Oreochromis niloticus: one gene and its partner. The protein of the gene in region 1 binds, or shares a complex with, the protein of each later gene. Links are inferred from orthologs where the notes say so. Each region holds a gene or a part of one and is shown in the gene's direction. Other genes may lie near its edges.

What was found.
Region 2: upf3b (region 1) and casc3 share a complex: the UniProt entries of both Homo sapiens proteins name them as parts of the mRNA splicing-dependent exon junction complex. The link is inferred for Oreochromis niloticus from reciprocal best matches to the Homo sapiens genes UPF3B and CASC3.

Annotation. Positions count from the first base shown.
Region 1 is NC_031966.2:18,502,925-18,515,187, reverse strand, and holds upf3b (regulator of nonsense transcripts 3B), read left to right. Parts: upstream 1-6,027; 5' UTR 6,028-6,344; coding exon 6,345-6,455; intron 6,456-6,663; coding exon 6,664-6,770; intron 6,771-6,856; coding exon 6,857-6,963; intron 6,964-7,057; coding exon 7,058-7,156; intron 7,157-7,348; coding exon 7,349-7,459; intron 7,460-7,541; coding exon 7,542-7,585; intron 7,586-7,660; coding exon 7,661-7,849; intron 7,850-7,931; coding exon 7,932-8,089; intron 8,090-9,987; coding exon 9,988-10,309; intron 10,310-10,386; coding exon 10,387-10,533; 3' UTR 10,534-11,836; downstream 11,837-12,263. Other genes in the region: nkap (NF-kappa-B-activating protein), read left to right, coding at 22-86, 174-269, 356-398, 484-681, 1,128-1,277, 1,810-1,984; ndufa1 (NADH dehydrogenase [ubiquinone] 1 alpha subcomplex subunit 1), read right to left, coding at 3,847-3,867, 4,993-5,082, 5,165-5,266. UniProt on the Homo sapiens protein: Involved in nonsense-mediated decay (NMD) of mRNAs containing premature stop codons by associating with the nuclear exon junction complex (EJC) and serving as link between the EJC core and NMD machinery.
Region 2 is NC_031969.2:34,225,015-34,237,397, forward strand, and holds the start of casc3 (protein CASC3), read left to right. Parts: upstream 1-6,491; 5' UTR 6,492-6,527; coding exon 6,528-6,713; intron 6,714-9,172; coding exon 9,173-9,197; intron 9,198-9,290; coding exon 9,291-9,346; intron 9,347-9,437; coding exon 9,438-9,668; intron 9,669-9,873; coding exon 9,874-10,022; intron 10,023-10,328; coding exon 10,329-10,502; intron 10,503-10,672; coding exon 10,673-11,565; intron 11,566-12,006; coding exon 12,007-12,180; intron 12,181-12,383. UniProt on the Homo sapiens protein: Required for pre-mRNA splicing as component of the spliceosome. Core component of the splicing-dependent multiprotein exon junction complex (EJC) deposited at splice junctions on mRNAs.

The DNA of each region.
Region 1 (12,263 bases):
TATTTTTTTCCCCTCCATCAGCTCCGATGAGTTCACACCAGTTGAAGAAGATGAGAAAAACAGCAGTTCAGAATCAAGCACAGAAGGTACACAGAGTGTGGACACATATAAATTACAGCAATGCAACGTTTTCTGTGAATTTATAACAAAACCATTCTGTCTGTTATTATCAGAAGAGAAGAAGAAGAAAAAGAAAAAGAAGAAGAAGTCCAAGAAGAGAAAGAACAAAAAGCACTCAGAGGACAGTGAGCTTGAATCAGATTCGGATGGTAAGATGAACGAAAAGCACCCTTTTTTTTTTTTTTTTTTCTCTAATCAGATTCATCAGTTTAACTGTTTTGTTTTTGTGTTTCAGAAGAAGAAATAAAGAAGAAGAAAAAGAAAAAGAAGAGCAAAAAGTATGTTCTGATACAAAGCTGTGCACCAGCTCTGTTGACATGGTAACAGCCCATTTGACTCACCAAGCATCCCGTTTCTCGTCAGGTCTAAGAAGTCCAAGAAGAAGAAGGCGAAGAAAAGCCGGAAGGAGTCCAGCAGCGACTCCAGCAGCGAGGCCTCAGAGGAGGAAGAGGAGGAAGATCCCAATGGGGTGTTGTGGGTGGAGAAAACCTCCATTGATGAGCATGTCGTCGGCCCCGAAGCTCCTCTCACTCACATGTCTCAGAACGATCGACCTTTGGAGTGAGTCTCTGTTTGTGTTAATTCCTGCATTAACAAACAGGGAGAGCATCTAATCCTAATGTAGTTTGTATTCTATTCCAAAACACAACTGCTGTTTACAGTGGAGCATACCTGTACAGTACAGAAAACTGATTAAATGTCTGAAAACAGAAAAAAATAACAGAGGCAGGCTGTGTATTTTCAAACTTGCTAGCTAAATGGTGAGCTTGAAGACTGGGATTTTTTTTTAAAAAGCGATAGTAGAGTTGACATTATTGAAGATTGCTGATTATTGATTGGTTCTTTCAGTTTTATTTAGGCTATAAAAAATGGAAATCACTATGATTCAGTTTATCAGATGTGACAAAATAAGACAGACTCTGTTAAGCATTTCCACTACACAACTTGTTTAAATCATTTGGCAGAATTTTTGATAAAAGCTTCTTTTTCTTTTCTCCTTCCTCCAGTTTCGGTCATGCCCTGTTGCCAGGTGAAGGTGCTGCCATGGCAGAGTACGTGAAAGCTGGCAAACGTATCCCAAGAAGAGGAGAGATCGGTCTCACCAGCGATGAGATCGCAAACTTTGAGAAGTCTGGTTACGTCATGAGTGGCAGCAGGTACGTAATGTTTAGAAAATGGAAAATTTTCACCTCAGCTGTGGTCCGATTCATGCAAACATATTAAACAAATCAACACGATTTTGTAGTGAAGATTCTTTTCACAAGTCCACTGCCTGGCCAAAACAAAAGTCACCATCTGGATTTAACATTTTCTGCATTACTACATTAATACACGCAGATTTCCGTAAAAAGGCGGTTCTTGATTTAGTAGTTTTAATGAGGCACACTTTAACAACAACATATAAAATGTGTTCTCCCAGCAGAGGCTCTATATGGTGAGTTAAAACATGGGTTAAGTAAAGGAATCAGTGAAAATGTGGCATTTCCAGTTGATTTTAAACCAAACCTCAAAACATATATGTGCAGCAAAAGTTACCAAATGCTTCAAAATGTTGTTTAATTTCTTTACTAATCTCTGCACATTGTAACATTTGCTTTAGCTTGTGCTCTAGGCTGGATTGAGTTGAGCAGATCCAGGAGCGTGTTCAGCTTTTCTTCCCGTAATATTGACAAATTTTTCGCCCCGCAGACATCGTCGTATGGAGGCTGTGCGTCTGAGAAAGGAAAACCAGATCTACAGCGCAGACGAAAAGAGAGCCCTGGCATCGTTCAACCAGGAGGAGAGGAGAAAGAGAGAGAGCAAGATCCTGTCGAGCTTCAGGGAGATGGTGTACAGGAAAACCAAAGGCAAGGAGGAGAAGTGAACGACCAGTTTCTGTCTCCTGTTATTGGAACCTTTACTTGTTGTTTAGTGACATGAGGCGTAAAGCTTTTTTTTTTCTCTCTCAGTTTGAATCGAGTGTACAGTGCAGGAGTGTTTTAACTGTAAAAATGTGTCTGAGAAGTATTCAGTTGTATTCTCCTTCCCTTTTTTATCCGTCTCTTGTAAATGTTTTCAAATGCTCCCAACCAGAATGTTAAATAAATTTTCACTATCATATCTTGTTGCCATTTTATTATTTCTTTCTGTTCTTGCCGGGAGTTCTACTATAAGTGATAAATGCATCAAGAGTAGAAAACCATTTAGAAAAAAAGAGCAGTTTGTAGTATTATTGTTTTAAAGTGCAGGACCTCATCTGAGTGAAACACTTAAATAAAGGCTTTTTTTTTAAACTAAATAACTGATCATTTTTTGTGACGAGTTAATTGTAGCATATTTAAGAAAACTTGGCAAAAAATTTACCATCAAACTCTGAATATTAAAAATAAATCTGCCAGTGTTTTTGAGCAAATATCTGAGCAAATAGCTACTTAAGAACAGGAACCACATGAAAATTTCAGTACTGAAAAAAAGTTCAAGCTGTCTTTAAAAGTGCCGCCAAATTAATTTTACCACCATTTCAAGTCCACAGTCTAAAGCAAAAGTCTACTTTGTTCCAAGCATGTTTTGTTTTGTTTTTTTCATTTCAAAATAATATATATTTGTAGTGGTAAAATCTGTGACATCACAGACAAGTCTCTGCCTCAGAAAATACACATAGTATCAATATTGCAGTTTATCACTGGATATGGTACAGGTCAAATAAATGTAAAAACAATGGCCGACTTTTGGAAAGGTGAGGTGGAAATTTTGTTCATATTGATTTTTTTGGGCATGTTTGCCTTTAGTGGAAAGAAAGAAAAGTGAGGAGGGACACTGCACTCTGACCATGTGACATGTGATCACCTGCTCACTCATTGACCTAAAGTGGTGCCCATACTTGACTGGTTTTTAGCCACAGTGACCCCCAAATATCTTTAGCAATTGTTTCAGCTTCTTTATAGTGAATCAGTGGCCACAGTGTGCATTTACTTCAGCTGTTTATAAACCTTTATTTATTTACAAGTTGAAAGTCTTATGACTTTTAAGATGTTTTTCACTGGCGTGAGAAAGAAATTTCTATAAATTGCTAATACAGAACTATTGTTTTTTTTCTTACAGGAGTTTTTTGAATTCTTTACTTTTTACAGCATTTCAATTAGTGCTTTTTTAAATGAACATTTTTGTAAGAAACAAAATATTTTTTTCCTGCATTTGCTGTTTTTTTTATTAGTTAATATCACCTGAGCATCCACCACAGGTTGCCTGTGACGGTGGTTTGAAAGAAACACTGAGAAAACATTGACATCATGTTTCCACAACTTGGATTAAACCTAATCCCAGACTGAAAGAAATTAATGAACTGCACTGAAAAAAAAAAAATGTATGGACTAATCACGTCTTTTAGTTTTTGTCAATAGTTGTTTTTTGAAGCTACTTGGAACAATAGAGTTAGTTACAGTTAACGTGATGCTGCAGGAAGGCGTATTACAGCTAAATGGTAACAGCAGGTACTGTGAGACATCTCAAGTCCAGTAAACCTGTCAACATGTAAGCAGATGTAATAAAATAAAATAGTAACTACACTCCTTCTCTCTTCTGTTACTGGTAGAAATCAATATAAGAAGCCTCACAAGATTCCCAGTGTGTGGAAGAGTTTAATCACCCATCTTAAAAGACTGAAAAACACAAACAGCTGAATGTTAAATATAATCTTTTAATGTACAACAAAGAACTTTCTTCTCTTGGGTCTCTCCGGGTTCCTCGTCAGTGAATGTTCTCAAGTCCCTGGTGAGGAAAAGCGAAATAAATAAGGATTAAAAGTAGTTATACATGAGCAGCCATTGTGTTCAGTTAAGCTAAAAACACATTTTATGGACTTTAGGTCTCCTTTTATGCTCTACACAAGACTAACACCGCCATCGGTGTTACCTGATGACCGAGAACAAGGAAGACCACCGTGTGGTACTTACTATATAAAAGGCTAAAGCATGGCATTGGGTTATTTAGCATAGAGCATGTTGGGATGATCACTTTGCATAATTATATAGTTTAGGTTAAAGTATCATTATAGGACACGTTTCGATAAAAATTATTTTGTAATGAAGTTATAGCCATTTGAAAATGCACCAATCCAGAGAACTATTTAAGCTACGTCATTCAATTTTTTAGGCCAAATATCTGTTGTCTTGACTTCAGGAATATGGAATTTCTAAAGTGTTGTTGAAGTTAAACATCACATTCTGAGAAACCCAATTAGCTTGAAAATTTGATTGCATTACAAATATTTGAAAGTTTTTAGATGAACAGTTTCAAAGATAGAGGGTTCAAATTTGTAACACAGATTCCCATAAAACTACTCCAATCAGATGAATGATCTTAAAGATACTACAGCTTAAGGAAAAGGAAAAAAGAAATCATTTCGATATCCCCCCCCCCCAAAAAAAATGGCATGCTGGTGTGCTGAGACAAGTCCAAGGGAGGCAAAACAATAATGAGTGATATTCAAATGCACTGTGTTTGTACACATAAAAGGATCTGATTGATGGCGTGGAGGTAGTACAGATGCACCCCAGATAGTGCAAATGTGCTACCAAGAATGCCTTTATAATTAAAAGAATATACACAGATGAGTCACATGATATACAGTGTTTTTTTTTTTTTCTGTGAATGTGGACATTGGTGTGCCTCCATGAAATGCCTGACTGAAACAAAACTAGGGTTTTGAAAGTGCACCGTATTTGCACATACTGCTTTTTCTGAAACTGTGCACACTACTGTCGAGCAGTTTAAGCGACTTTTGTATTTATATGTAGTTGTAGTCTCAGAGAAAGGCTGTAAAGTAGTTCCAAGTTGGACACTTTGTTATTCATTAGCATTACTTTTAGTTATTATGGGCAGAAGGAAGCTAACCTTGGAGTCAAAGTGGCGTCCGGTTCCTGACACTCGCTTATCTCTGTCCATGAGATACCACTGCCACGGAACCCGAGCAATCCTTTTCTCCTGCGGGGGAAAAACACACTCTTTATAATCCAGCAGTCTGGTACACAACACGAGAACCTACTGGCAGCGCCTGCGTCCTCACCTTTCCTCCGTTAGTGAACTTGTGGATCTGCGCGGTGGCGACACCGGGAATGATCAGACACACGGCCATGACGCCGAGTCCGGGCAGAATTTCATACCACATGATTACAGCGTTTAACTGTCAGGGGACAAAGAGCAACTTCGAGGACAACAAAGTTGCCCCAAAACCTACCTAACGCTGTTTATTTATCCCAGAAAGTAGCAAAATGTCGACCGTCAGGACGACCTACGTTCCTCTTCCAGGACAAGAGAAGAACTTCCTGTTGAAGATTTTCAAAATAAAACACTTCAATTCAACAATTCATTTTGATCGTAATTTTAAATCGATGATTAAATTATGCTTTTACAGTCAAAAGACGAAACCGATCGGACATGGATATGTGGGGAGGAAAAAAAAGTGTTAAAAATTCTATCATAATTCAAATTATATGTTAATTTTTTTAAATGGACACTTGTCACTGGAAAAAAAAACTTAAAAAACGTTTGTTTAGCTATCTATAGGTCAACGTTTCCCCTTTTCGTTATTATCTCAAAAATTTGAGTTTAGGGTTAGTCTCCTCCCCACCAAAAAATCGACTTACCAGCAAAGCGATCTCTGAAGAAGCATTTTGAATTATGGAAGGCAATTATTTTCAGTTAAGCAATCTTTATATATACATATATATATATATATATATATATATATATACATATATATATATATATATATATATATATATATATATATATATATATCCTGTTTATTTAATTTTCTTTCGTTCGTTTGTTTTGTTTTGTTTTTTGTCTGGAAATCGCCAAACATGACTTAAGTGTTTACACGACGAGTAAGCTTTTAATTTGAAGTGTAGCTGAAAGGCGGAAGCTCTTTTTGGCTCACGCTAGCACCATTTCTTTCTAATAGCAAATAAGAAACCATTCAGAATAATTCCTTTCATGGACAAACTAATTAAGACTATAAATAAAACAAAATAAAATATATTCTAGTTATTAAATTAATTGCCTAGGCACGATTGAGTTCATGTACAGCGCCCCACTCCGGCGCTGATACTAAACGCAGCGCTAACCGTCAGTGAGGAAGTTCCAGTTAGTTCGTTCACTAGCAGAGGCTAACTCGCTGAAAGGTAAACAAGTCAGCTGAATGAGATGAGACCCAAGTCCAGGATTAAGTAAAGTTTTCTGCAATGAAGGAAGACAAAGAAAACACTCGACCGAAGGAGAAAAGGGTGGAGATAAAGTATGAAGATGGAGAGAAGACGGAGAAGTCCAAGGAAAAGAAGGAGGCCATGACAAAGGTAAAACTTGCTAGCTGCGTTAGCTCATGTTGCTATGAACCGCCAGGTTTATAAAATTGCACTATTTTTCATGTTGTAGTGTTTCATCATGTTTCACGTGTATAATGATAGAATGCACGTGAACTTAAGAAATCTGTTTATCAGCCCCAACTTTGTTCTCCAGATAATAACTTCACCTATGATTTTTTTTTTTTTTTTTATTAAATAGATTGTGATCAGACGACTACCACCAAGTCTCACCAAAGAGGAGCTGGAGGAGCAACTGCAACCGCTCCCAGAGGTGGACTATTTGGAGTTCTTCTCTAACGACACGAGGTGAGTTTATCTGTAAAGATTCCCTCACTGTTAACAAAAGATAAATATACTCGTATATGTATGACACAGGTGTTTTCCTCTTTTAGCCTTTACCCTCACCTCTTTGCAAGGGCTTACATCAACTTCAAAAACCAAGAGGATATAGTGCTCTTCAGAGATCGCTTTGATGGATATGTATTCATTGACAACAGAGGTATAAAACAGGGAAGAAGTTACTAAACAGATTTAAAGATTTCTGTAGGAAGGACCCGAAGTTTCATCTTTTTCCACATGATGTTTACGAACAGGTCAGGAGTATCCTGCCATTGTGGAATTTGCACCTTTTCAAAAAACTGCCAAGAAAAGAAGTAAAAAAAAGGATGCAAAGTGTGGAACAATTGTCGAAGGTAAATATATTTACCCTTTGATAAATACAATTCATATATTGTAACGCAGTATGTCAGAAAATAAGGAAAAGCATTATAGGTCTGCTTTAAGTGCAATTTAGGAACACTTATAAAGACATATAAAGATACAGAAAAAGCAGTCTTGCTATAATCATTAATGTGTTTATTTGTGTTTCATTTGATTCTTTTAAGATCCAGATTACAAAAAGTTCCTTGAATATTACAACGGGGACGACGAGAAGCTAACGTCCACACCTGAGACCCTGTTGGAGGAGATTGAAGCTAAATCAAAGGAACTCGTTGGTATGTTTAGCAGTCAAATACTGGTAGTTTTCAAACAAACGCACTGCACAATGAATAATTTTTATCATTTCCTTTGTTCAAGCAAAAAAAACAACTCCTCTGCTGGACTTCCTGAAGAATAAACAGGTAAATAAGTTCAGGTCGAGATGTGTATACATTGCTGGAGGCTGGCCTCACACATTTTGTTTTAATGTTCTACAGAGACTCAGGGAGGAGAAGAAAGAAGAGCGAAGAAGGAGGGAACTCGAGCGCAAACGTCTGCGTGATGAGGAGCGTCGTAAGTGGAGGGAGGAGGAGAGGAGGAAACGCAAAGAGGCAGAGAAGATGAAGAAGCTCGAGAAACCGCAGGAGAAGGACAAGGACCAAGCTAAAGACGAGCCAAAGATAAAGGTGTGTGCAGTAGTTGAAAGAAGCAGTTCGAAACTGTGTCCAACTCTCAGTACTTAATGTGTGTTTATTTTTACTGTTGTAGCTCCTGAAGAAGCCAGAGAGAAGAGATGAAGGTGAACCGGAGAAGCCAAAAGAGAAGTCCAAGAAACCAGAGAAGCCAAATAGAGAGGACAGATCTTTGGGAGGTTCTGATCATAAGAGACGTCAGAACATCGAGCACAAGGAGGATCGAGGAAGGAAGTTAGTTCTTCACTCTTCTTTTAATTGTCCAAATACATTCACCCTCAAGTGAACAAGCTATTTTAGGTTGATCCCATTATAATTAATACCAGAATACTTTATTTTTAATGGGTCTGTTTATGCTTATCATAACCATACCATTTCCTTTATCTATCATAGATACTGTTTTAATCATTTTGAGGTTTAGCATCACATTTCCTACACTACTAGTAGATTAATGGGTTAGTCAAGATCCATGGTGTCTCTTGAGCCTTCTACTGTACATACTGCTTACACGCGATTGCTCCTCAAAATATCCAGGCATTCATGTGATGAAATTTATAGATGGCACAATCGTCATTGGTCTGATCTCCAGCAATGTACGGTAGACAGGTGGAAGAATTTGTTGGCAGGTGTGATGCAAACAATGTGTGCATCAGTGTGGGGAATACGAAAGGGATTGTGGTGGACTTTAGGAGGAGAGATCACAGGTTTCATTCCTGGAGAAACTTGAGCTTGTGGCTCTGGTTCTGCGTATGTCCAGTAACCTTACATGAACCACAAATGTGGTCAGTATTATCAGAACGCTCACAAAGAGCTGTTTCGTTTGTTTTGTTTTGTTTTTCTTTATGAAGAAGCTGAAGCAGACTGGCCTTGGTGCAGCTGTGCTGACTTCTTTATTGTGTGCTGGAGAGCATCTTGACATACTGTATAATTGTTTGGTATGGCAACTGCTCTGGGGGCAATAAAAACACACTGTAAAGATTTGATAAATCTGCCTGAAAAGTGACTTGTAGCAGCTCTCCTTCTTTAGAGGACATTTATATTAACCGTTTACCGCCCTCCCCTCAGGCAGAGGACTGCATAGCTTCACAGCCTGTACGATAATCCTAAAGTGCAGCTGCTTCTGTAAAGCTATGATTCTCATGAACTCGGTGCCATAATTTGTCCTCTGCACTTTATCAGCTTGTGTTTTTATTATGCGATTTTTAGATTAAAATAATTACTGTCTGTTCTATTTATTAATATTTTAATGCTGGCCTGAGAAACACATTTAATTCTTGCACATTTAAAAAAAAAACACACACACATTACATTTACATTTTTACAAAGGTGCCTTTTTTTTTTTTTTTTTTTTTTTTTTTTTTTTTTGGTCGTCGTTCTTCTTCTGAGTCATCTTAACACCACTGAGGAAAGGCATTCAGTTAAAGTTACAGCAACACAAAATGCACCGCACAGTCACATAAAATAAATGTTTTCATCCTTGATTCTAATCTGCGACCGGGTCTGTTTTACACTGCTACAACACAGAGTGATCAGCCTGTTTTTCTAAACCCATAGGCGTCCATAGAGTCCACTCTTCTAAAAAGGTTTTCTAAAAGACTTGAAGTGTCTCTGTGGTCAGTTTTTGCACATTCATCCAGAAGAGCATTTGTGAGCAGTTGAGATTAGGGATATATGAAGGCTTTGGAAGATGTCATGCAGCTGCTTGGCCATGGAAATCCATTCAACCAAACTCCCGGTGCACAGTTTTTGTGTTGATGTTAATGCCAGAGGAGGTTTGAGCTCTGTGGGTATTGAGTCAGCAAAACATGTTGACACTCTCTCTTTGCCTTCACCTGATCTGTCACTTTGTGGTTGAGTTGATGTGGTTATTTAATACTTCGACTCTGCAATAGCACTACTTACAGTTGTTTGTGGAAAATGTAGGAAGAGTTCCACAGGAAGACTGTTGTTGTTAGTGTGGTTTTTATTTTGTTTTTTTAAATAAATGTTTGTTAAGGCAGACTACATGGTTTGCTACTGGATTTTAATTAAGAGGTGGCTCAATACTTACTTTCATATAGTGAAAATCTCTTGTCATAAAAGAGCCTCCATGGTCCCTTATAGGTTCAGTCAAACTTGTGCTTTTCCCACAGAGGGGACGAAGATGGGCGGAAGGAGTTCAGGGAGCGCGACACGGATCGAGACAGAGACCGTGACCGAGAGCGGGAGAAGGAGCGTCGGCAGAAAGAGAGGGAACGCCTCAAGCGACAGGATGAGGAGCGTCGGAGAAGAAGGGAACAACAGGATGGAGACAACTCCTTCAAGAAGCGGGAGGAGGAGGTTAAAAAAGATAAAGCCTTGGAGAAGAAGAAGGGTGAAAACATGCCAGACTCCCCACACACTGAGAAGCCAGAGAAGCCTGCTAAAGACAACAAGAAGGAGGAGGGTGGGAAAAGAGAGCGGCTACGAAATAAGGTAACTGCCCGTAGGTCTTAAATCATCACACAATTTCATCCAGTTGTGTTTCTGAGCCTGCTCTTTCTCTGTATCAGGACCGGCCTGCTATTCAGCTGTACCAGCCAGGTGCCAGAAGCCGCAACCGTGCTGCAGGAGGAGGAGGAGGAGGAGCTGAATCCAACTCCGCTGACAGAAAGCCAGATACCGAGGCTAGGAAAGTGGCTGAGAAAGAAGACGACTGAGCAGATTTCTACCTGCAGCATTTTTAAGTTTGGCGAGGAGAGAGAAGACAGGCCTGTGGGGCTCAGAGCAGCAGAGTGGCATTTCGAGGCCACGTGCAGCACAGCATCGGGGTCTCCCAGTCTCAGAGGCAGAGGTGTGATTGTGGAGCCTGTTAGTGCCTAAATGTGACCCTGTTTAGTTTTATTTGATCAAAGAGGTAAACTTTGGAAAGAGTTTGGCTGTAGGGCACATTAGTGAAGCCAAAGCTTTCTTGGACCACGTAAACTCAAAGTGACCTTACTTCAGTAGAGTTTCTCTGATGGAAAATGTGTGGTAGGCGCTGAAAACTTTAGCTTTCAACTTGTCTTTCATCTAAAACTCACTCAAACTTTCCAATCAGTCAGTATTTCTACATTGCAGAGCTCTACAGCATAGTTTCTACACTCTTTAATGATTTTTCTGTTGTAGCATTGCCACTTTCAGTTTGAAGTGCACACATAAAAATGACACCTTTGGCTCAATCCCAGCGTCCACGCTCACAAACCTTTGAGTTGTGCTTGTGTTAAATGTGTGAGGGCTCACTGGTAGACGTTTAAACTCCTCCATGTACACCATCCTTAAGCCCAGTTTCTGCAGACTTTACCTTAGAAAGCTATTCACAGTTCACAGGAAAAGCCAGCAAGTGAGAGGAGCAGCCACCCAAAAAGTCAACGGAATGCACTATATGCCTTATTACACTTTTTAAAAACTTGTGCTTAATTATATTTTGACTAAATCAAGTAAATCAATTATATGACAGTTTGCTCTTGTCTCCTCTGTTAGGTGGGAGCCTGGAACACAACAGATCAGACATAAATATAAAACCAACAGACCCTAGTCCACAATAATAGAAAACCTATTCTGGCTTTAAGGTTCCTGTTGATACCATTTTGATCCATGTTATACTCACACACTCACATTACTGCTTTGAGGGCTTCATGTTTAGGGCTTGGGTTTCGGCTTTACTCTGCTTGGATAGCCGTACAATCCATATATAACATGAACTGGCAGATATAATCTGTGCTTCTATTATCTGGGATCAACTGTTTTCATTTCTTTCAGTCAGTGACAAAGGAGAAACAGCCATTTTTGACTAGACTAGCATGTAAAATTGGAGCTGACTCGACCAATCTGTGGCCTTTCCTCTTTTTCTAATCTCAAACTGTCCTTAAAACATTCATCTGCGATGCTCTAATCTGAATGCAGCATGGAAACATATCACTGCTGGTGATGCTAACATACTGTAGCCTCTTTTGACTAACAATAAAAGAGATCTTCACTAAAGTCTGAGTGTCTTTTCTTTTCTTTCTTTTTTTTAAGGTATGAAGTGATCCAGTTTCTTGATTGTTGATCAGTCATAAATGGGGGGGGGGGAGCAAACAACCTAGCAAATACTTTCATGTTGAGCTGTGTCTGGCTTGTGTGCAGTAGAAAGAGATGCCACACTTAGTCCTTTGAACTAAGGAAATAAACAATTGTCCATCATGAGAAGTGTAAGAATGTTAATAAGGAACTCGCGACATTGTGCTTGGATATTACAGAATCAGGATAACTCAGTACAAAGTGAATTATTCACATTATGAGTTCGTGGAAATGACAGTTTACACGCAGATCTATCCCAGATTATTGTCTCCGCATACAAAAACAAAAGTAAGAATAAAAAAAATGCCTTTTTTTTTTGGTTATTATTTCGTTTATCCTGCGGGTTGGA
Region 2 (12,383 bases), on another chromosome or scaffold:
ATATTTATTATATTTTTTGCTGAACTACATCAGAACTGTGCGTTTCCAAAGATGAGCTTCAGTGAGTCAGTGACAGAAATTTGTTGATATTATATTATTATATTTAGAACAATTTCAGCACATTTACTAAGTGAAGTTTTTATAAAGTATTTTTACACTGTTACATAACAAAGCACTGTACAAAGAAATAAAGGCTAGGAATAATCACAGTAAAAGATCATAAAACATGAAAATACAATCGATAGCAATACAAACTGAGTTTAAACACGCAAGAAAACAATGAAAGAACAGATGGTAAAAAGAAAGAAAGTTATAATCAATAAGAATATCAACGGGAAGCCTCGTTAAACAGAAACATTTTCAAGTCCACAGCCTTGGTGCCACAGACTGAAACACTCTGAACCCCACAGGTCGTATAAATACAGGCGTGGATGTCCGGCACAGGGACATTTGATATTTTGATGATTTGAACTGCTCTGAATGAGCTGCTTGTTTTTTTCTCATCATGCATTTGTCTTAATACAGTTTCATAAAACAGAAAGTTATATTGCATTCAGAATAAAGCGTTATAATTTCAGCACCATGGACAGCGCATAAGCTCCACGCTCTGTGACCACATCAGATCAGTCAGACAAACACACAGCTTTGTCTTATTACTGTTAAGATGTATCACAACCTTCAGCTTTGTTGTTCGGGAACCTTTTCAGAGCCACGTGAAAAGCACAAAGCTGATGTATTTGTGATTGTAGAGTGAAATATTTTACACTGTAACCCATGTAGTGCTTTACATAAGCATGAGAATGTTTAAATGAATATATATTTAGGAGAATATAAAATATTAGCAATGTGCACTCCCTTATTACAGTCCAGTACTGATTAGAAGAAGAAACACGGAGCTCAGCATTGACGTCAGACGAAAACTGAAAATAATTGAGAAGAAAATGACAAATACAAAGTTGAGAAAAAGACTGAGTCATGGTCACTGAAGATGGGAGAGATCATGCGCAAAAATAAAGTCTCCAGGACATAAAAAGGTGTGAATATTTTTACATATTAATGCTTCAGATCATCAAACAAATTCTCTAAAAGATGTGAAACTTTATTCTCACCCTGCCAAGTTTTAAGCATGAAATCCAGTTTCTCACAATAGAACAAGTTATTTAAAAGAAAGTCTTATTCAGCAACAGTGAGGCCATTAATCAGCATCACTTCAGCACAGACCAAAATAATAACCTGACTGGGTCCAATTTGGATGCTAAGTTAAACCAAGACAAAGAAAATTAGAAGTGTGGTTAAAGTCAAAGTCTCTGCTGAGAGCAGGAGGGCAGACACCCATAAGGGGGTGATTACAGGAGTACACATGAGTGTAACCCTAACAGCAGTCCGTCCATTTAAGAGGCTGATTAATATTTAACATGAAAATAGCACATAAGCTAACCAGCTCTGGTCTGGTTCTGCTGGCAGCTGCTGAGGTGAGCTGGCTGTTAGGCTAACAGGACCTGACTCATCTGAAAACATCAGCTCGATGTTACAAAGAGGCTTTTTGATATTGAACAGACCAGAAATTTGACTTAAGCCACAACATTCACACACACGAGCACGTCAGAACTGTTTGTACAGTTTGGACTGTCGAGTCATGAAACAGTGAAATCATTAAAATGAATCATTATTTTAAATGATGACACATTTACATCATTATGTAATAACATATAGGATGTTTATCTGTAATCAGGTATGAGAGATTTACTGTCAGTGAGGTCAACAATCAGACCTTCAGGTGTAACAGATGCAGTGATGTGAACGTTATCCAAAGCCTATATTTACACACACAGACTCAGCTGACCTGTGATCAGTGCTGTATCAGTCCTGGATATGATGATGGAGAGGAAAGAAGGAGGGAACGAGAGCAGCAGCTCCTCCTCTGTGAGTCTGACTCAGCAGCTGAAACCTCTGAGTCCACATCGAGGATCCTGATAAACACCGAGCAGCAGTCTGCTCATCCTCTCAGGTAATATTGATAATCTGATCGAAGCTCTGTGTATTTTACTCAGATGAAAATGAGCAGAGAAGCAGCAAGCCGTCTCTAACGACCTTTTTCAAAGATGGATCATGTTTCAGACTCGCAGTAGACAAAGATCCGCAGGAAGCCGAGAGCACAAAGCTGCTGCAGCTTTATTTGTTGTTTAAGGTGAAGCTAAATCTAAAAAACAACCACCTGAGCTTCATGGATCAGGCAGCTCATTATGACAGGACAGCGTACGGCTAGCCAAAAGATTTTTATCAAACAGCACATTAGCTCACGACACAGAGCTCCTGTGTTTGCTGTTAGAGGTCAAATCCTGCAGAGGCCCAGGGACGACCCAGAAGCCTCCAGGGTTCAGACATTTCACAGATGTTTCACCAGTCTCACTTTTTGCATGTTTCAGAGCGAAGCAGCAGAATGGATCTGAGAATGTCTAGAGAGATGAAGAAGAAGAATACAGAGGAGGCTCTGAGAAAAATGATGAAGACGTGCGTGAAATGTCCAGATTTGACGGTGAATGAAGCCATAGTGAAGCTCTGCAGCACCTCAGCAAGACCAAACAGCAGAGCTATCCCGTTGATGATTGGCTCAAGGATCTCGCTGAGAAGCTGGCTAATCTGTCAGGTAGTGTCAAGCTGGCGGGGCTTGGAGCGCTGGCCTTCACCATCTTCATCGACATCATTTCAAGCTCAGAGAGCACAAAGGAGGCTCTGCGGTGCGTCTTTGCAGAGCAGAAGGCCTCTGAGGTGTGGCATCAGATTGACGAGTGTCTGAAGAGATGCATGATGCACACAAATGATGATGCAGAGCTCATAAACAACATCAGATGGATCGAGCACCAGCTGAGCATCGTGCTCACCAGGCTGAAGAGCTCCATGATGAGGGACGGACAGATGTCGTCACGAGCTCTGAGGGCCTGGGTGAACGGAGCCGCCTTCCACATCCAGGTGCGGATCCACCTGGTGAGACTGGGAGGGCTACAGACCTGCGGACCTGTGGACACTCTCATCTCTGTGTATGAACGCGAGCTTGAGCTGCTGTTCGAAAAGCACAAGATGGAGAATAAATACGAACTGGACAAAGAACGTTTTAACAAATTTATTTCAGAAGAGGGTTCACGTACAGCTATTGCTGTTAGCCTTGTCCCACTTTCTAAAAGGTTAAAGATTTATTATGAGGAAAATTACGACAGCCAGAAGAAGCAGATTGAGCAGCACTTCAGCAAAGTCAGAGAGGATCTGCCACAGCTGGTCAGTCAGAGGGGTCACCTGAGTGTGTCGGAGTTCACCTGATTCGTGATTTCACTTAGTTTGTCTGTTAAAGAACAAATAACTGCTGCTTAGGTCATCATCTCCTCTGTCTCCCTCTGATTGGTTGATAGTTTTCATGTGTTTTCAGGAACGTGTCTCTTTCTCAGATATGTGGTTAATTATGATTATCAGACTGAAGTTAACTCGCTCACATTTAAAGCCAGTTATCCACGAGTCTGTCAGTGTCTGTGTATCTGTCTGTGGGCACACCAGGTGATAAACACCAACATGTATTCTGGGGTCACTGAAAGGCCAATTATTTTCTTAATTGAGGAACAGAGTGTCAGGAAATTCCTAATTTTCAAAGTAAAGGTTCTGTTACATATGGGGAAAAGGCAATTATAGGAAATGGTCAGGATCCTTTAACGCTACACTTTTGCAAAACAATAGCCTTCGATTACCTGTTGGATGTTATCAGTGATCTAAAGCTGTGAAAATGTTGTCTCCCTTCAGCTTATTAGCATGATGATAAATGTGTTTACTCTCCTAATAAACTCAACTATAGGAACAACAGCAGAAGTGTCCTACATGTGGAGAAATGTGCATCACAGGGATAACAGCAGGGCTCTAGAGTGCGACCAATTTGGTTGCAAATGCGACCAAATTTTTCAGTGGTGCGACCAAAAAAAAATATTTGGTCGCACCGGTGTGACCAAATATTTTCGGGTAACAAAAAAAAAAAAAAATCTCTGCAACTGTCCGTGTGGTCAACAACAGACACACATTATGCCCCTATCGTGGACTAAACCAATCAGAGATAGTCAGGGGCGGGACCTCTCTGATTGGCCGTGGTCCAGTTGAAAGTGCAGGTGGAAGAGAGAGGTGAGTAGCTTGAATAAAGTGATATCATTTCATTAAGGATTCCACACAAAGACGTAAACACAGACCCGACGCATCAGAATCAGCTTTGTCTTTCTCGGCTTTCTCACCCCACGGCCCGAACACGGACACGCTGTCGGAGCTTAGTGATTCTGATGCGTCGGGTCTGCGCTGTGTTTCCTCTTTTTTGCGCTGATTCTGAGCTGCAGGTTTTGTCTCTCCAACCAAAATTCGCCGAGCCAGCAGCAAAAGAAGCAGCAAACTACGCTTCACATTTGATCAATGTCGTCATGAATTCCCTCTGACTTTTGCTGTTTTGCTTCCACCACGATAAAAATCACACTTCATGCACAGCTCTCCCTCTCTCTCTCTCTCTCTCTGTACTTCAAGAACAGTTTCCCGTCTCAAATCTCTGTTTTCTGCATTATTTATTCGCTTATTACCCACCAGTCTACCGTTGTTTACAGCGCTGTCGGCCGCTGTCTTTTTCTTTTCTTTTTCTTTTTTCACTTAAATGACCTCGGACAAGAAAGCCTAATTTCTGCTGTTCAGTACTGAAGAAATTTAAACTTCTTAAAATTATGCAAAATTGCAGAATATTTTTAAGGTTATCTGCTATAAAACGCCAGACCAGGAAAATCTCCTTCATGTTTTTCTGTGTTTTATTCTCAGTTACTTTGACACAAAGGCATCTGCTGTGATGTTCACAATTCTGATGAAGTCTCATGTGTATCAGTGCTGATAAATGATCAGAATTATAATATTTCTGACTGTCTGAGGCTAAATTGAATCGAATCAGGACTTTGAGAACCGGAATCGAATGGATTATAGAAATCAGTGATGATACTCAGCCCTAGTGAGCAGCCTAGGCCTGACAGAAGTGGATGTAGCTGTGGGTAATAAGAAAAGATGAAAAGAACTATTGATAACTTTTGTGTTAAGTTAAGGACTGATCCGTCTGAAATTCATAGCCAGCTCTGACACGGTGCCATCAATCTTTGAATGCTGAAAAAGCAGCAGTGCATCCAGAAAACACATTATATGCTGCAATAAATGCACTGCCCAAGTGTCCCCTCTCCCCACTGCCTTTCAGCAGCAGGCAGCAGCAAACAGGTCGTCAGAGGAGGCCGAGGTGATGATTAAGTTTAACATTTTCTACAATATTGACAAAGCACTTTAAGCACAAGTTTGTTAGTTAATAATTTAGAAATTAATATTGTCTGTATGGACTTCCCCCCAAAGAAAGTGCACATGTAAAACTGCGGTGTTAAGCGATGCGGTTGAAAAATTTGAGTGCGCCTAAATTTTGTGCCGGTGCGCCTAAATTTTTAAAGTTAGGCGTACCGGTGCGCCCATGTGAAAAAGTTAGTTTAGAGCCCTGATAACAGAGAGTACAACAAGGAGTGAGGCCAGGACACACTGACAGGGATGAAGGGAACTCAGGTCTGTGTAAACAGTGGGAACTAACTGGGGATAGGAAACAGACAGGGAACAGCACGCAGGTGAAGACATACAGGAAGTCAAACTAAAACAAACTTAAAGCTGCTGTCTGGTACAGGCAGATCCTTAAAAAGCACAGATGCAGTGCTGGGCTCTTCAGAGAGCGACGTGGTGGAGGGTTTAACCGATGGTGCTCACCTGAGGCCTCAGACTCACTGTGGAGACAGGTTATTCTGCTCTGAGCTCGGCATCTCTGCAGCTCTGAATGTAGTCAGCAGCGCCGTCTAGTGGTGACCGACGGAAATGCGCTACTCTGACGTCTTACCTGTTCCTCAGGTTCAGGTACATACCTGTAAAATATCACCTTTTTCTCGTCACCTGTTGCTGTGTCGAACTACAAACATGTAGCTTTTACTGCAATACAACAACACTGAAACTCAGAGCTCAGTATTAATCCAAACGTAATGTAAGCTTGACCAAAACGTTAAAATAAAATAAAATAAAAACAGACTTCTTTGTTGGTTTGGAGGGAGACGCTCACGTTTCAGATCCACCGCCTGTCTGCAGAAACATGCTGCTGAAGCTTTGGTGCATCATCCATCAGCTGCACATCCAGATACTTTAAATACTTTAAGTACTTTTACCTGAATACATTCTGCATGTCAGGACATTTACTTTACTAAAGTCAGACCTGCAGAACTCTGTTTATTGTTTCTGTTTTGATTTTTATTACCCAGTTTGTTTCGTTTCTGTTGTACAAGTTATGTTTTATTTTCTATTTATTTATTTTGTCGCATTTTCAAGCGTGTTAGTAAAAGTTTACAAACAGTAGATGGCGGTAGAGAGAAAAAGGTGCTCTTAATTATCTCACTGAAGAAGAACTCGGATACCCATAATCCTCTGCTTCTTCCGTTTCCAACCATTCGAGTCCTAAGATGGCGGACCGGCGGCGAAGGAGGAGGCGCGCGTCCCAGGACAGCGAGGATGACGATGAGTCCGGGTCGGGTTCGGACAGCGGGAGGTCCGGGTCCCCGTCCTCGAAGCCCCGGGGACGGGAGCCCGACCCGGCGGAACCGACCGCGAGCCGGGTCCCGGCGAAGAGCGACGTGGAGTCCGAGTGTGTGAGTACCAGCTAGCAGCTAACGTTAGCTCCCAGAGCTCACCCGGTCCCGGGCGGGAGATCAGAGCCGAGCTTTCGGGCGTTAGAGCATTTACTCCGGGCCCGAGACCCGCTCCGGGCTCGGGTCACTGTGGAAAATGAACCCTGGATAAAACAGCGGGTGACGTGTTCGAGTCCCACAGACAGCTCGGTGTTTGTTCGGCGTTAGCTCGAAGGTAACGGCTCCGCTCTGTAACCGCTCCGTCGGACGGTTCTGGTCCATGACCCCGGCCAGCCTGGCGGTTCGAGCTGGAACAGACCGAGTAGCTCGCTGTAGCGCTTGTGTCCGAGCCGGAAAGGCTCAAACTAACACGGACACCAAACGTGACACAACACCGAGGCGTGAGAGTGATGTCCGGGACCCCCGGGCTGGCTGCATCACGCACCTCCGCGTGACCCGAGGTCTGAGAGAGGCTCTGGGCTGAGCCTCCATTTTGTGGCCGTGGATCTGTCTGAGATCATCCTGGGCCCCTGTGGTGGTGTTTAGCTGCCGTTTTTGGTCCCCGCAGCGGGGGGAAACATGACTGATTCGGTCCGACCGCAGTGCAGGCTGAGGCGGGTTTATTGGCTCCAGGCTGTTTACATGACAACAAACATGAAACGACAGATTAGTAAGAACCAATCAGCAGCAGGCTTGTTGATAAGTGTGCTGAAGTGAAATGTGAGTCCTGCCTGTGATTTCAGACGTTTGCTGTGTTTAAGCTCTGTTACTTTGGTTCCCAGTTTACAGGCTTCTGCTTCATCTGATCTCTGCTCTTGTTTGGGTCGTCACGGCAGCTCATCTGCCTCCACCTCCTCCTGTCCCAGCATCCTCCTCTGTCACTCCACCCCTCTGTATGTCCTCCTTCACAACATCCATGAACCTCCTCTGAGGTCCTCTTTGTCTCCCCCTGCCTGGCAGCTCACTTTTTTTATCATCCGCCCTCCCTCCTCTGCACATGCTCAGACCCTCTGTGACTCAGAGTTGTCACTCATTTCTGACGCTCAGTCGCTGTCCACAAATCAAACATCACAGCAGGTCTCACGACCTTCTCATAAACCTTCCTTTTCACTCTTGTAAATTCTGTTTTTAATCCAGATGCACTTCCTGACACGACCCTTCCCATGTGTCTGTGCTTGGGACGGCACTTGGAGGGCAGTGGCCTGTGGCTGGTCTTCACTGTGAGGAAGACGCTGATCTTTCTTGGTCTGTGAGAGTCTTTCGGTCTCAGTCGCTCACTCACACAGGCGAGCTGACGGCACCTCGTCATGATTTCTTCACATATTTTAAATATTGGTTCTTTGCGCTGGTATAAACTCACTCGACCGTTTGCAGGTAAATTAACTGTTCAAACTCCCAGAGGAGCTGTGCTGGTGTTACAGGTGAGAACGCTCCACCCTGCTGTATCAGCGCTGCTGCTGAAAAACACAGACACAAAGTGAATCCAGCTGTTAGCGTGAGATCAGACCGAGCTCATCTGTAAAGAGGTTTAAAGAGACTGACTCTGTGAGACGTGCGATATGACCAAAATCTCATATCCCGATATTAAGACATCTATCGTCCGATAACGATATAAAATCACAAAAATGTAACATTTTCTGTAAATTCTGTGAATGTCGGGCAGCTCGACTTGCGTGAAGTGTTTCCAGCTGGGCGTCGCGTACCTGGAGTCGAGTGTTTTAACTGATGCATGAAACGATACATTTGTAGACATAGGTTGTAACGGCCGCCGTTTTCTTTGTGAGTATTTATTACACGGCGTGCTGCGGGGAAAAGCCTGTTCTAACGTTTGAGTATAAGGTTTATTTTTTAGCACCTGACGGCTCTTTTTTGCTTCTCATCCGTAAACACTCTGCATCTTTCACGTGATTCAGTTTATTTTGAAAAGCCTCAACAGGATCTTGAGCTTTATTGTGAAAGGTTTATGTGGAAAATAAACAAGCGGACACGAGGTGGTTTTACCGTCGTTGTTGCTAACGAAAACGCATAAAAACAGGCGCTTGTCCGTCTGTAGTGTGGTTATATTAAATATAAGAGAAAGAGAGAACTTTAGGAAATTCATATAGCCACTACAGTGACCATCAAAATAATGAAAAAATATTGCCGTAAACAGTTTATTTTGCGACACCACGAAACAAACGATAGCGTAAAATGAAACGATAGACGTTTTTCTATCGTCATCCGATATATATCGTTATATCGAACAGCCCTAGTGAGACGTTTGATAAACTCGGATCTTTGAGCTGCGTTCAGACTCTGCTGAAGTAATCCGAGCTGTGCTGTTGGTGGTCTGTACAGTTAAAGGTGGAAGCTGAATAATGTGCACGGCGCTCTGTGACATACTCGCAGCAGAGCTCAGGCTCTGACACACAGACGCGTCTGATCCTCGGCGCTTTGGAGCTGCAGGAGCTTAACGCTGGTTTTCTTCTTTGTTGTTGCAGGAGAGCGAAGACGGCGTTGGAGAAGGTAAGCGACTTCTTCGTGAGCACCACACTGAAGTCACAATCTGGGAAATCAGGCTGCTGTTGGGTGATTTCACTCCTCCTCTTTGTTTTTCAGCCGTCCTCTCAGATTACGACAGCGCCGACCCCGAGGACAACGGATCGCATTCAGAGGTACGACCGCCGACTCGCTGCTTTCTCTCGGCTGTGACGTCTTGTTTAGCCTCTTTAGGGAGTGTTTCTCCTAAAACTGTGTCCTCCTCAGGGAGTGGAGGAGGAAGAGGAAGCAGAGCAGTACAGCGACGAGGAAGCTCCGGCAGCAGCCAGCGAGCCCCAGCCCCCCACTACAGATGGCCCTGTGGAGGGAGCGCAGGGAGAGGAGGAGGAGGGCGGAGAAGCTGAGGAGGAAGAAGAGGCTGTAGGGCGGAGCAAAGAGGAGAGCAAAGCAGAGGAGAAGGGAAACCTAGCAGGAGAGCGACAGAGCGGAGACGGACAGGTGAGACAGGCACAGGAAGTGAGTCGTCCGTGTGCCACAGTGAGCCTCTGCTCAGACATGTGACGGAGCTGACACAGGTGATCAGAGCAGGTGGATGAGTTTGAATACCTGAGGTCAACCATCCAAAGCAACGAGGGGAGTGCAGACAGGGTTTAAAGATGGTACCTGCTGCCATCTGATTGGTCTGATCTGAACTTTCATACAGGAGTCGACGGACGACCCGGAGACGAAGGCGGGGGGCAAACCGGGGCAGCAGCTGGACGACGACGAGGACAGGAAGAACCCGGCGTACATCCCAAGGAAGGGTCTGTTCTTCGAACACGACGTCAGGGGGCATGCTCAGGAGGAGGAGAGGTAACCGTCACAGCACCGCCTCCAGATCAGCTCCAAGTCGTTTAAACGGAGACATTTAAAGTAAAGTGAAGGAAGGTGTCTGCTACGTGCTGCACGCTGACAAACTGAAGCGATAAGAGTTTAGGGAGGAGTTAGACGGGCTGAAACGATGCGCCCACAGATTTGCGTCACTGCTTGCACGGGTCAGTCATAAACTCTGAGCAGGTTAGAGCTCGTTTTTAAAGCCTCTCTGCTCTTACCTCATCGATGTGATGCGCACGTGCCTGTCGTTATGACCTTGAATTTCCTCTCCGTCTGTGTCTTCAGGCCAAAAGGCAGAAACAGGAAGTTGTGGAAAGACGAGGGCCGCTGGGAGCACGACAAGTTCAGGGAGGAGGAGCAGGCGCCGAAGAGCCGCGAGGAGCTGATCGCAATCTATGGTTACGACATCCGAAATGGCGGCGGCCCCGGAGACCGAGGGTACAGACAGCGGAGGCCCAGGTGAGCGGCGTGTCAGCTGAACGTTGAACGTCTCCGGAGCTGCGAGCTTTGGGATACCTGCGGGTCACCACGCTAAATAAAGTCACTTTGAGTGAGGTCATCGTACTTCCTGTAACGAGCGTAGCCGCTGTTGGTTTGATGTTTAACCTTCGTCTCTGTGTCTCCTGCAGACCGACTTCGTCTCCCAGCAGAGACAAACGGTGGAGAGATGGAGGAGGAGAGCGGCCCGTCCGGTCCTGGCAGAACAGGGGAGGAGGGGGAGGAGGTCTGAACCGAGGAGGAGCTCCTCCACCTTCATCTGTCCACCCCTCCTCTTCGTCGTCATCCTCTGCACAGCGAAGCGGCATCCCCTCCAGACCTCCTCCCTCCCGTACCAGACCACCCCAGAGTAACCTGCACCCCCCACCTCCGTCTCACTACAGGAACAATGAATCAAACGCACCCCTGGTGCACCACCGAGAGCGGACGGGTCCTCGGGCTCAGGCGGAGCCTACAGGGGAAAAGGGAGGTGTCAGAGGAGGGCGAGGAGGAAGGGCACCCTCTGTGGTCATTGAGGACATTACAGTCAGTCAGGGAGGGGTCACGGAGCAGGAATTGAGCGTTGGCGCCGTGACGCCGGCAGCGTCGCCACAGCCGGGCGGTTACCAGTCCACTTCACCGAGACGCCAGCAGGAGCAGCGAGGTGGCATGGACAGATCTGCGTCAGGACTGGCCGCTTCCTCTTCCGGCTCCGACCCTTCCCTTCAGTCGTCAGCAGCAGCGACCAATCGGGAAGCTTCCCCTCCCGCCGAGCGGCCAGTGGAGCGCAAGTCTTACTCACTGGCTCGCAGGACTCGCTCGCGTCCCGCAGACCTGGGCAGTAAACAGGCGTCTGTGGAGGAGTCCGTTGCCGGGGGCAACAACTCTTCTCCTAGCAATGTGGGGGGAAAGAGCTGGTCGGGTGGAGGCGACGCACCGAGCCAGGCGGGAGGAGGCGTGACGGAGCTGGACCAGGACGTGGCCCGGCTCAATCTGGCCAGGCAGAGCTGGAGCCCGACCTCGTACATGCGGTCTGAGATGAGAGGTGAGGGCTTTTACAAAATCACCTCACAGGTGGCGCTCACGAGCAGAGTCAGGTGGTTCATGCTAAATGTCGACTGAACAGGTTCACCTGAGGCGGAGCTAAAACTGAGGCTGTAAAGCGCAGCTACACCCAAATATCTACAGCGTTATTACCACCTCAGTGATCTTTGGTCCTTGTGAGGCTTTAACACATGCAGTCCAGTTTGTTTGTGTGTAGAGGGGCCTAAACCTGTTAAGCTTCCTAATGTGACGTCTCATATGAATGAAGCCTGCTCTCTGCAGATGTTTTGCTTTTTCTAACTTTTTCATTGTTCATTCTCATGCAGACTAAATCTTACGCGTTCCATAAAAATCAACATTTGAATGTTGTTGATGATAAATGTGGCTCCTGTTATTTGGCCCCTGTGATTGTCTGTCGTTAAACCAGTCTCTCTGTGCACAGGCCTTCCTAACCCCCTGCACATGCCCAGCGGCCCGCCACAGTTCTCCGGCATCGAGGAGATGGGTGTCGGCAACAACCGGGCCAAACGCTACTCCTCCCAGCGACAGAGAGCCGTGCCCGAGCCGGCGCCGCCTATGCACCTGGGAGTGATGGAGGGACACTACTATGAGCCCAGTAAGCCTAAGATCACATGACCAGCACCACATGGCTACATCACATCAGTTAGACACGGTTTGGGACGAAGTCGCCGGGCTCAATGAGCTCTCGTGACTGAAACGTTTCCAGCTGTTCTGGAACACCGCAGCGTCCTTTTATGAAAACGAGCTGCTGGAGAAGAAAACGTCACCTCTCTGTGATTAACCTGCTGTCATTTTCTG